3 linked regions of the Oryzias latipes genome follow. The protein of the gene in region 2 purifies or fractionates together with the protein of the main gene of each other region. This does not show direct contact. Links are inferred from orthologs where the notes say so. Each region holds a gene or a part of one and is shown on either strand. Other genes may lie near its edges. The genes, in order: ccdc86, SRSF protein kinase 3 and ebna1bp2.

The links.
Region 1: the proteins of SRSF protein kinase 3 (region 2) and ccdc86 purify together in Homo sapiens (affinity purification with mass spectrometry; 3 studies listed by BioGRID and IntAct, with this or other methods). This does not show direct contact. The link is inferred for Oryzias latipes from reciprocal best matches to the Homo sapiens genes SRPK3 and CCDC86.
Region 3: the proteins of SRSF protein kinase 3 (region 2) and ebna1bp2 purify together in Homo sapiens (affinity purification with mass spectrometry; 3 studies listed by BioGRID and IntAct, with this or other methods). This does not show direct contact. The link is inferred for Oryzias latipes from reciprocal best matches to the Homo sapiens genes SRPK3 and EBNA1BP2.

The regions. Positions count from the first base shown.
Region 1 is NC_019859.2:15,309,698-15,313,449, forward strand, and holds the start of ccdc86 (coiled-coil domain-containing protein 86), read left to right. Parts: upstream 1-1,345; 5' UTR 1,346-1,796; coding exon 1,797-2,302; intron 2,303-3,098; coding exon 3,099-3,228; intron 3,229-3,316; coding exon 3,317-3,391; intron 3,392-3,474; coding exon 3,475-3,585; 3' UTR 3,586-3,752. Other genes in the region: glb1 (beta-galactosidase), read right to left, coding at 210-272.
Region 2 is NC_019865.2:30,372,943-30,376,594, reverse strand, and holds part of SRSF protein kinase 3, read right to left. Parts: intron 3,109-3,652; coding exon 3,083-3,108; intron 229-3,082; coding exon 136-228; intron 51-135; coding exon 1-50. UniProt on the Homo sapiens protein: Serine/arginine-rich protein-specific kinase which specifically phosphorylates its substrates at serine residues located in regions rich in arginine/serine dipeptides, known as RS domains.
Region 3 is NC_019862.2:16,838,245-16,841,996, forward strand, and holds the start of ebna1bp2 (probable rRNA-processing protein EBP2), read right to left. Parts: upstream 2,623-3,752; 5' UTR 2,514-2,622; coding exon 2,418-2,513; intron 2,226-2,417; coding exon 2,142-2,225; intron 2,024-2,141; coding exon 1,860-2,023; intron 1,307-1,859; coding exon 1,183-1,306; intron 643-1,182; coding exon 553-642; intron 448-552; coding exon 372-447; intron 277-371; coding exon 186-276; intron 100-185; coding exon 1-99. UniProt on the Homo sapiens protein: Required for the processing of the 27S pre-rRNA.

The sequences.
Region 1 (3,752 bases), on a different chromosome or scaffold from region 2:
TTAAAACCATTTTAAGCCTTTTAAATGACATATTTGAAATTAATACAAATATTTAAATGAAAAGCAAACACAATACTATCTTTTTACATATAAAAACCGACCCCAGAGCTTTGTTTAATAGTATTAATTATATTAACAGTATACACACATCCTTAATAAACAGAACAACATGATAGACCTGGAGAACTACAATGTAAAGTTAAACTTACCCGTTGTACAGACAACACCGTAAGCAGGAAGCTAAGTCTCAACAAAGACAAGATCAGTCTCATTTTGAATTCTGCTGCTCCGTTCTGTTTATAACCTTTTTTGTTTAATCAAAACTCCCAACGACAGAACCGCTGAGGAACTGAATTTCCTGAGTGCTGTGTTTTGAGCAGAGCGGCATCACGAGACGCGGAAGTAAAATCACGTGACATGTTGATGCAGTGATTTAATGCAACCGCACGGTGGCACTATTTTGCAATTTCTTTTCCCCAAACACGAGTCTTAGATTTTCATTTTATTTTTACCTTTCACACGAGGTGTATACTTCTCAAAGATGTTGAAGAATTGTTATGTGGTAAAAATAAACAAACAAATAAATGAATAGCATGTAAAAAAATAGCTTCCAATTTATGGATCTTCTTATTGCACAAGATTACCCAAATGTTAAATGACGTTCATACAGTCTATTCCCCTTGTCTTGCCTGCTTTTTTTTTTTTTAGCAATGGGCTTGGATATGCAGGTTTTACTTTAGATAAAACCAAATACATTTATATCGATTACATTGGAATTAATCATTAAATTATTTTTTATATATTTGCTTTTAATTGAAGTAATAGCTAGCTATTTTTATTAAAAAACTGAATCTTGTCTTTTTGCAGATGACATGAACCTTTTTTTGAAATAATTGAAAATATTTAACAAAAGAAAATGAAAAACTGAAATTAAAAAGTGTTTGATTTCAAGTAACAGTTGCTCGCACTACTTTAAAACAAATGTGTTGTTTATGCATTTATTTATTTATAATATTGTGTTAAACTTTGGAACCCACAAAAGAATGATTTGAAAAGATGTTTACATTTTCTCCAGTTTAAAAGAAAGTGTATAGACAAAAGACATGTGAGAGTTATGATAAAGTCTATTAGTGTTTGTTCTGGTATCACAGAACATTTGATCTGTCCGTACTTGTTCTCGGTCAAAACTTAAATTTGATTACGTCACTGCCTCTCTTTGGTTTTTTTCAAAGCCATTATTATAACCTTAATGTCTATTGATAACAGTTATTTTATAACAGTTTGTTTGTCTGCATTTGTTCCTTGTGCTGCTTTACAGTGCTCTAACGGTATTTTTATTTATGAACTTTATTGACAAATACTGTAAATACAGAACATCATACATGACCATCATATATGGTCAGTGCACAAGACATTCCATACCTTGTCCAAATTTGTTTGAGTCAAACAACAATAGATTATTGATTTTCCAGGTTAAAAGAAAGAATAAAGGCACTTTAACTCAAAACAAAAACACTAATTATAATAATAACCTTCTTTTTGATGTTTTAAATTAGACTGTTTTAACAGGTTTTGTATTGGTGCAGGATTGAATACTTCATACATAGTCTCTACAAACGCCAACTGCAGGCTGCACCTTCGCTGTCTCACCTGTAGGTGGCAGTAATGCGTACTTTTGTTTCACATCTCACGTTGAAACCCGGAAACAGAATGACGTATGGCAGGAAAGTACAGTCTGGACCCACGTGGGTAAAGTTTTTCACAGTTTTTATGTTATTGACCGCAAAACTGACAATATGCCCAAGAGAGTGAAGCCCACGGTGGAAGAAAATCCCGCTCCCGAAGGAGGACACGAGGAGGAGCCGGTCCAGGAGGAGCCGAGACGGACCAGGAGTGGCCGCAGGTTGTGCACTCCCGCCGCCTCGGTGAAGACTCCGAGCAGAAGGACGAGGCGCTCTGTCCTCCAAGAGCTGCCGGCAGTGGAGGCACAAAACACGGTAGGACCAGAGAACAAACCCGGTGATCCCCTCGAAGACGACTGCAGTGGGTCAACGAAACCAGAGTTAGAAAACCACAACGAGGAGCCGGTGGGGGAAGCAGCCGGCGATGAAGCTAGCGGAGACCACCATGACGTGCTAAAATACGAGCCTGTAGAAACGGTTCCTCCTGCGAGTTCAGAAACCATCCCAAAGAAAAAGAAGAAGAAACCTCCTCCTGCTGCTCCAAACGTCAAGCAGAGCGCAGTCATTCCTTTGGGAAAACCCAAATCAGGACGAGTGTGGAAGGACCGAAACAAACAGCGGTGAGGAGCAAAAAGTCTGTCTGCTTGTTCTCTTCTGAACCTTCACCCATCTGACGGAACACTTCCTAGAATGTGGGGCTCCGGAAGGAGCTCTAGACATGATAACAATAAGAATAATTTACTCCTCAAATTTTTCGTTTTTGGCCACTAACTGGTATGTTGTAAATTAGTATTAATTTGTTTACAAATTAGTATTTAAATATCTTCAATTCTCACTAACTTATGCCCACAAAATGCTCATTTGACCACATGCAATTTTGACAAAATTTTGACAAAATTTTTTGGCCGTGAAACGCTTAATTGTGGCCGCAAAATGCAAATCTGACTACACAAGCTACCAATTTTTTAGCACAAAAATCTTTTTTCTGTGGTCAAATTGTTAAAATGTTAATTTTTTGTTGCCATCAAGTACTTAATTTTGGCCACAAAATGGAAATTTGAAGGCACAAAATACTCACTTGCAAATAGAAGGGTTAATATCTGGCCATGAATTACTTATTTGTGCCTACAAAATGCTAATCAAATGTTTATTCATGGTCATGAATTACTAAACACTCATTTAAGCGCGCAAAATACAAATTTGAGGCCACAAATGATTAGTTTGAGGAAGCGTTTTTTTGTAACTAAGGGTTTTCTTAAAAAGAACATTTTCTTATTTAACTTCTTACAAACATCTAAACATTTTCTTTCCTTGTTCATTTAATTGTAAATGTTATACTTTTCTTTTGCTGAGTTCCTCTCAATGATCCATTTGAATGTCTGTCTCCACAAATGTGATGGGACGCTTTTCGTCCAGGTTCTCTGCTTTGCTGCGAGACAAACCACTGTGTTCCTCATGGGAGAAGAAGATGGAGGCCAAGCGGGAAAAGGAGCTGGTGAAGGCGTATTCTTTGAAGCTTAAAGAGGAGAAAGCACGACAGAAGGAGGTAACGTGAAGGCGTGTGTGTGCTGAAGCACTGCAGGGTCCATGCTGTGGCCCCTCCAACAAACTCTGCTCTGTTCTGTTTTCTTTAGGAAAAAAGGAAGAGAAGGGAAGAAAACCTGAAACGCCGCGCAGAGAACGAACGCAAAGCAGAGATTGTGCAAGTGGTACGTCCGAAGCAGACTCCGTTCTGATTCTCACGCATCTGCTTTATAAAACATGCCAACCTTCTCCCTAATATGTTTCATAGATCCGGAACACGGCTAAGATCAAGAGGATGAAGAAGAAACAGCTCCGCAAAATCGAGAAGAGAGACACTCTGGCTTCAAATTCAAACACCAAAACACACACAAATATTTAACACGATTTAATGTAAACATTAAATTGCCATGAAATCCACTGTTTTGTCTTGTAGTTTTACTACAAATGTACTGACTGATCCGACTGGAGCTGTTCATAAGCCAGAAAGAGATGCTTTCTGCTTTATTTTCAGAGGAAAGTCACTCTTAAAGCATAATTCTACAATTA
Region 2 (3,652 bases):
TTAGAATCTATGTCATCGGGCTGAAACAGACCCTCTTCTTCCTCCATTCTCTAAACACAAAAGAACACTTTTATACTCTGGTATTCTGAAGTACTTAGAAATATTTTGAAGAACTAAAGTTGAAGCCACAAGTACCTGTATGTCCTCAAGTCTTTCTTCCAATAGTTTCTGCTGACGTTTTGCTTTTCTTTTCAGTTTCTTTTTCTTATTTTTGGACATTTTTCCAGCCTGCACATACAAACAAACACAAACAAACAGGTCAGGGGGCTTAAGGTTCTACAGAACAAAGTGTGCATGCTCTGGGTTACCCTCAAACTCACACACTGGGATGGATGATTGAGCAGCCCTTTCCGTTTTAATACTGTATATCTTTCAATAGTGGCCGTTCTATGATTGACGCCGGTCTCCAATAAACGCCAAGTCTAACACATGCTCATTACTGTAGATGCCGGTCCCTAATAGTGCCGGGCACCCTTTTATTTTTTATTTTTATTGTTTTTTTCAAACTTGTTCTGTCCAACAACTGAGCAAACAGATAAGCGCTGAAGGCCTTTTGTGTTGGACAAGTTTTACTGTTACAAAAGGGGTTATATATCTTCAGAAAACCAGAGTGTGAATTTGTATAAACCCCTTTTTGTTTTTTTTTGTTTTTTATTGATTTGTTACATTTAGTGTGTGGGGGGGAGGGGAAAATTGTGTGAAGGGGAGAAGAGAGTAAAGGGGAGAAGAGAATAAAAGGGAGAGAGGGGGAGAGAGTGGGGAATACAAGCGCCGATTTGAATTGGTTATTATTTTAAGATGTAACAATTCTACCAGATCTGCTGAAACGACAAATATTACATCAAAGGTGAAATTCTGACACTAAGATAAGCAGAACATATCTGTCCATCAATACACTGTGGGCTAGGAGGGGGGATGAAGCAGGCAGGGAGCAGTGTGGCAGTGTGCACGTGGGGGTGGAGATACATGCACGCTTCCAAAGTGAACCCTGTGTTCATCATGAGGGAAAGCAGATCCTCCCCAGCCAGACCACGGCAACAGGCCCCATGCAGCCCCGGAGGAGCGGGAACCACCCACCCAGCCAGGCACAGAGGGTTCCCCCCCCAGGCCACAGGACAGGCGCGCTCAGCTGTACCAGGCGGCAGCCATTAGGGCCACCGGGCGCTGGACACGGGCCAAGGACGAAGCCAGGGCCCAGAGGGCCCAGGAGCCGCCCATCACCCAGCCGGAGCCTCGTCTCCGCAAGCCAACCCCAGCACCCGACCCAACCAACTTAGAGATCACCACGCAACCACAGCTCTACGCCCTCCTCCCACTACTCTACCCTCTACAACTCTCCTCACCCGCCATGTTCTCCGACCCCTCCTCCCATACCCCCCCAATGCCCTCCCCACTCTGCGATGGGTAGGGAGAGCCCCAGAAGATCCTGGTGAGCCAGCCCCCCAGTCTGTCCCACCCATGCACTCTCGCAGACACACTCACAATCTTCTAGTTGCCCCCCACCCCCCGTCGCCACACAGTAACCCCTTCCGGCCGATCAACGCACCAGCGCCGCACGCCCGACCACCACTACAGCCAACAGGATCCCTAAAAGCCAGGCCGCCCTGAGAGGACCAGGCGGGTGAAGACCGGCCGCCCCTCCCAGACCCCACCTAAGCAAGGTGGTGTGGGTGTACTGTGTGTGTGCTGCAGGTAAAATAGGAGGTCTCCAGTGTGGCGGGCCCCACTGCTGCCAAGCAGTAGAGCCCCCCCACTCCGGGGTCCCTCTGTGATTGGTGTGTATTTCCAGTGTTTGCTGCTAACATGTAGTGTGTGTGTCTTAAGTGGAAGTTAAAACAGTGGGACGGACCAGTGAAAGATGAGCACGGATGTTTCACCGTACCCCCCTCCACCAGACCATCCCCACAAAGCCCTTGATCACATGTGTCAAACTGAAGGCCCGCGGGCCAAATGTGGCCCGCCATGTCATTTTATGTGGCCATCGAGAGCATGAAGTTTTTCATTTCCTAAAACAAAATTTGACGTGTATTTATTCATATCTAGGTGGAATCAGACTTGAAATATTGGGCAACTATACATTAGGACTTAAACACTGTCCACATAACCTAACCTGACAGAATCTAATGTAAAAGGATTTATGCTAGAGGAACAAGCAAACATATGTTTTCTATGCAACTGTAATTGTTACTTTAAAAAGATATGATAAATAAATAAAATGAGTTATTTAACATTAAGGAGTAGTTTCATTTATTTTTCATTACATTTAGTTACATGTATAAGTTTCATCTGGCCCCTTGAGGACAGCCACTATGCTCGGTGAAAATGAGTTTTACACCCCTGCACTAGATGAATCAGGGTGTCTAATATGTGAGTAAAAGTGGAATGGAGGGCGGGCGCCGACGCGACCCCAAAGAGAGACACCCCCGGTGAGCCCAGGCAGCATGTCCCACCCATCCAGTTCCCGGAGCCCTATGTGCCTGTGTGCAACATTTGTTTGGGTGGGAGCGGGGGACGGGCTCTCTTAAGGTTTTATGCATCTTATCACAAATACCACTCAAATGGATTAATATCGCTTTTTGCCAATGTAGCCTTAAACTCCAAGGTCACTCAAAGACTCACTCTGATCATCTTCTGATCTATTGGAAAAGTTTTCCCAGCGGCCTTTTCATCCTGATTATGCAGTTTTTAGCCCAAATAAAAGAAAAAACGGTAGTGTTTTCCAGAAAATAGTTTCTGCAGAGGGGCAGGAGTTCATTTGGATATTCACCTCTAAAATGTGGGTGGGACCGTTGGCACCGTTGACCCCCCCCACCCCCACCCCAACATCACCTATAACCGAGAGCTATATTTGGTTGGTTTTAAAGTGTGGGCCAAGCTTGTGTTGAGTGGATGGGTATTCCTTAACAAAGCAGAAGGATTCACGGTCAAGTAGCAAGTCCAGAAGCACTGGCATAACCACGCCCCCTGCCTACCTACTGATGATAGAGATTTGAGTTTGATCCATTAAATCAGCTAAGCTAACAATTTGTCTCTGAGCACTGAACAAATCTGAACACAGCAGGCATCACACCTGGGCACTTACCTGTAGATTCCTAGGAGCCATACTAACTAGAGACATGGAGACAAACAAGTAGAAAAGGAGGAAACAGAAAGAGACAGGAAAGAAGAGCAGTTAGAAGTTGACCAAACAGAAAGAGACAGCCAATCAAAACCCAGAGTCTCAGCTGACATGCAGCTGTCTGTCCATCAAATAGGAAGAAGCTTTCAGGTTGGGAGCATGTTGAACTCTCAGAGCTCAAGAGTACCTTCCCTGAAGTCTGCTTAGCTTCACAAAGATGTAGGACTAAGGTGATGTTTGATGATTAAAGTGCTTCTTCACACAGACTGAGAACTGATTAAGAAACCTGTAGGAATTATCTTCACACTAACATGAAAAAAGATCCAGGTAGACATCAGAAAATTACTGTACAGATCAGAGCAGAGGTGCCAGAACTTTAAGGCTTCATAGGTAAGGTAGGCAATCGTCCTCCCAATCAGTGTGTGGCCCTGTGACTGAGCATCCTGTACTATCATATACAAAGATTTGTGGAGTTTTTATACTGAAAATTGGTAACTGCCCAATGAGGAAGTTGATTTTTCTAATTCTTAACCT
Region 3 (3,752 bases), on a different chromosome or scaffold from region 2:
GAAACATCGTTGTAGCTCTCCTTGGTGTTCCACTTCTTCCCGCTCTTTTTGCCTCCAAAACCAAACTTTTGGTCCTTGTATTTCCGCTTAGCACTGGGGCTGAAGAATCCAAGGGAAAACCAGAGGAATTTAGAGAAAATATGACAGAAGCAAAAGAGGAAAAAAGCAGAGGGGAGAAGCTTTACCCTTTTTTGTTCACTGCTTTACTGGGACCTCCTGAAGAATTATTACCCATCTTCTGGTCTCCTTCCAAAAAGTCCAGTTTATCTGACATTCCTGGAATAAGAAAATGTAAAAGAATGCATCAGATTTGGCATTTAACAATTACAAAGTACATATCATGGCCACAGAAACAAAACCCAAGTCCTCACCTTTCTGGTATTTCTTTACAGCAGACATCATAGCCTTCTTCTCCTTCTGTCTCTTCTGGATCACCTCTATTTGGACCTGGCAAACAATCAGACAGAGGTTCCCTCACCATTTGGAGCACAAACACGTCTTCGTATCTACAGAGTGAGAGGCGGTTAAGAACAAGTCTCAGCAAAAACAAACCTTTTTGCCAAATTTCCGTTGCTCCCGCAGTTTCTTGGCCTTTTCAGACTTTTCCAAAATCATCTGCTTTGCGGTCAGCTTCTGCCTGATCTGGAAAACAAAAACAAAACAAAACAGGTTTGTTCCTGTTTTCCAACTCCTGTAAAGTAAAAGACTGCATTTTGTTCACAAACCTATTACAGGGTCTCCACAGATTTACAGAAGTGAATTTGAAAACCTTCTAAAGAACAATTAAAACCTACAAATCCGTACAAAGAAAATGAAACAAACAGCTGGAGTCTGGCTATTTCTTTCTCTACACATGCGTTTTGATCCGCTTGACCCTTTCTGTGCCACATCTATGTCTTTCAGCAAACTGTGCAGTTTGCTATAGTAATTACTAACAATCAACACAAGTAATCCATATTTTTCAAGCCATTTCTTCATGAATTTGCATCTTCCTAAAGCTTTTTAGTCTTTATGGGTCCACAGCCATCCATATTACAAAGGTCCAGCTTAACTTTTCTATCAGACATCTGCTACAAATAAACAGAAAGCCACATTCCTGCCAAGTACTATCCATGATTAATGTTTGGAGCTTAGAACATGTTAGAAAGCACACCCCCTTTAGCATGAATGAAAGCAAGTCACCTTCTGCATGTGCTGATCGGACTTGGCCATTTCTGCAAAGTAATCATCAGGCCTTCTGGTGTTTATGTCATGCTTCCTCAGGAGAGGGAGGGCCTCCAGGACTGTGGCTTGAGCTTGACGGTAACTGTAAAAGAAAACAAAACAAATGACATCATCAGTTTAAACAGCCATCACTTCAGTTTAACACAAACACACAAACCTGGTCATTTGTTTTTCCTCATTAGATCAAAACTTCAATAACTCTTTTTTTTCCCGTTTCTGAAAACTGTAAATGGTTGCTTTAAAAAAAGTTCCTTTAAAGAAAAAAAAGCTGTAGCCTAGAACACCATATGACCATTACAAAATCCTGTTACAAAATATTCCCACCGGTGATTTAAAAAAAAATTCAAATCTGAATCCTGAGCTCAATATTTTGAAATGTCATTTTATTAGAAAAAAATAAAAACACGCATGATGTGTTTTTACCAGCACCAATGTCAGGTTTATTGGGTGTGTGGAGTATCTTTAGTCAAAGCTCTAAATTAGGATCAACAATGACATGCAGTCGTACAAATGTGTAAGAACAAATTGCAGATTGCAATTATGACAGGGTAAAGAAATGTTTTGCAAATGTGATAACCGAACCCAGATTATGATAATACTTTGAACCCGAGGTCTAGAACACAGTGGTCACTTACAAGAACATCTCCCTCTGGAAATCATCCTCTGCATCCGGTCCTCCATTTATCTCAGCAGGAACTTTCCCTTCCACTTGGGATAAGACTGGAAGAGTGCTGAGGTCTAACCTTTCCACCCAGGAGAGGTCTTTCCGGAAGTCAGCAAGACACTCTTTTAACCCCTCCTGCAGCCATTAAACATGTTCACATAAATGCACTATAAATAATACACTTTTTTTCTCTTAATTTAAGAGTAGTAGCTTCATCACAGGTGTAACTAAAACTGTAAGAAAACCAACTTACCACATTGTTTACCAATTTCTTAGATTTATCCACCAGAACGTTCATTCCAGGTTTCAGCAACCCTTTGGTGAAGGCTTCCTGAAGCTACAGTTAAATAAATTAATACATTACCTTTCGTAAATTAGAATAATCACTTAGACCAAATCTTTCAGAGACAATAACTTTAACCAATTTTTTAAAAAAGGGGAAAACAAATCCCCAAAGCGTACATCATATAATGATAACTTTTAGCTGAACAACTATCAGAGCTTGAGTCCGGTTAGCATAAAAACTCACCTCTCCATCCGATAACTCGCTGCCTTCTTCCTCTGAATCCAGGCCGAGAAGCGACTCCTCTTCTGCAGACTCCATCGTGTTTACGGCTATAACCATAAAGAGGGCAAATCTTTCCAAACAACCAAGAAAAGTTAATTGTTTTGGACGCTTCGATTTTCCTCACGTGTACTAGCGTTCACGCGGGGAGAAATGACGTCATCGGAAGTTCTACAAGCAGAGTGCGCCGGTGGAAAACTGCGATCAAAACAAAAGGTTCCTACAAAAAGAAAATACATTCCACTGTTACACTCAAGAATAATAATGCAATGGTAATTTATTTATTATCAAGGTTGTTCATTTATTTATTTTTTCCCAAATTAAAATATTACCCGCAGTTTCAACCGGCAGAAAAAGAAAACAAGGTGAAACCTAAGTGTCTTTCAAATTCAGCTGGAGAGAGCCACCAAACATGTTAGTGTAAAACAAAAATGTAAAAAAATTATTATTATTATTATTATTATTATTATTATTATTATTATTATTAATAATAATAATAATAATAATAATAATAATAATAATAATAATATCATTATCAGCATCATCATTATTGCTGCACGGTGGAACATTGGTTAGCGCCCGTGCCTCACAGCAAGAAGGCCCCCGGTTTAAGTCCCGGCTGGGGGACCTGAACCAGAACACCAATGGGGGACCTGTTTGTGTGGAGTTTGCATGTTCTCCCCGGTTTTCTCTGGGGTCTCTGGCTAGGTTAATTGGCAACTCTAAATTGTCCCTAGGTGTGAGTGTGAGAGTGAATGTGTTATTGTGGCCCTCCAAAAGACTGGTGACCTGTCCATGGTGTCCCCTGCCTTCGCGCACAATTGGCGGTGATTGGCCTCTGGCATCCTGTGACCCCAAATTGGGACAAAACAGAAGAAGATGAATGATGAATGAATGAATAAATGAATGAATCATCATTATTATGGTTGGACTTCCCTATGTGGAGTATGCATGTTCTCCTCGTCCATTTGTGGGTTCCCCCAGGGACTTATGCTTCATAGGTTAATTGGTTACTCTGTCCCTTGGTGGGAATGGGAGTGTGTGTGGGATTGTGGCCCTGTGTCAGACTGGTGACCTGCCTTTCACATAAGTGGCTGGGATAGGCTCCAGCAGCCAAGCGACCCCAAAAGGGATTTAACGGTTTTAGATGATGAATGAAAGAATTATTATTATTATTGCTTTTGTTATTGTTGTTGCTGGTATTCTCAAAAAACAACACACACACCCGAAGACAAGAGAGCGTTTTCCTGACATTGACTCCATGAGCGTTCTCTATCTGCTGTACTGTGCGGGTGTTGA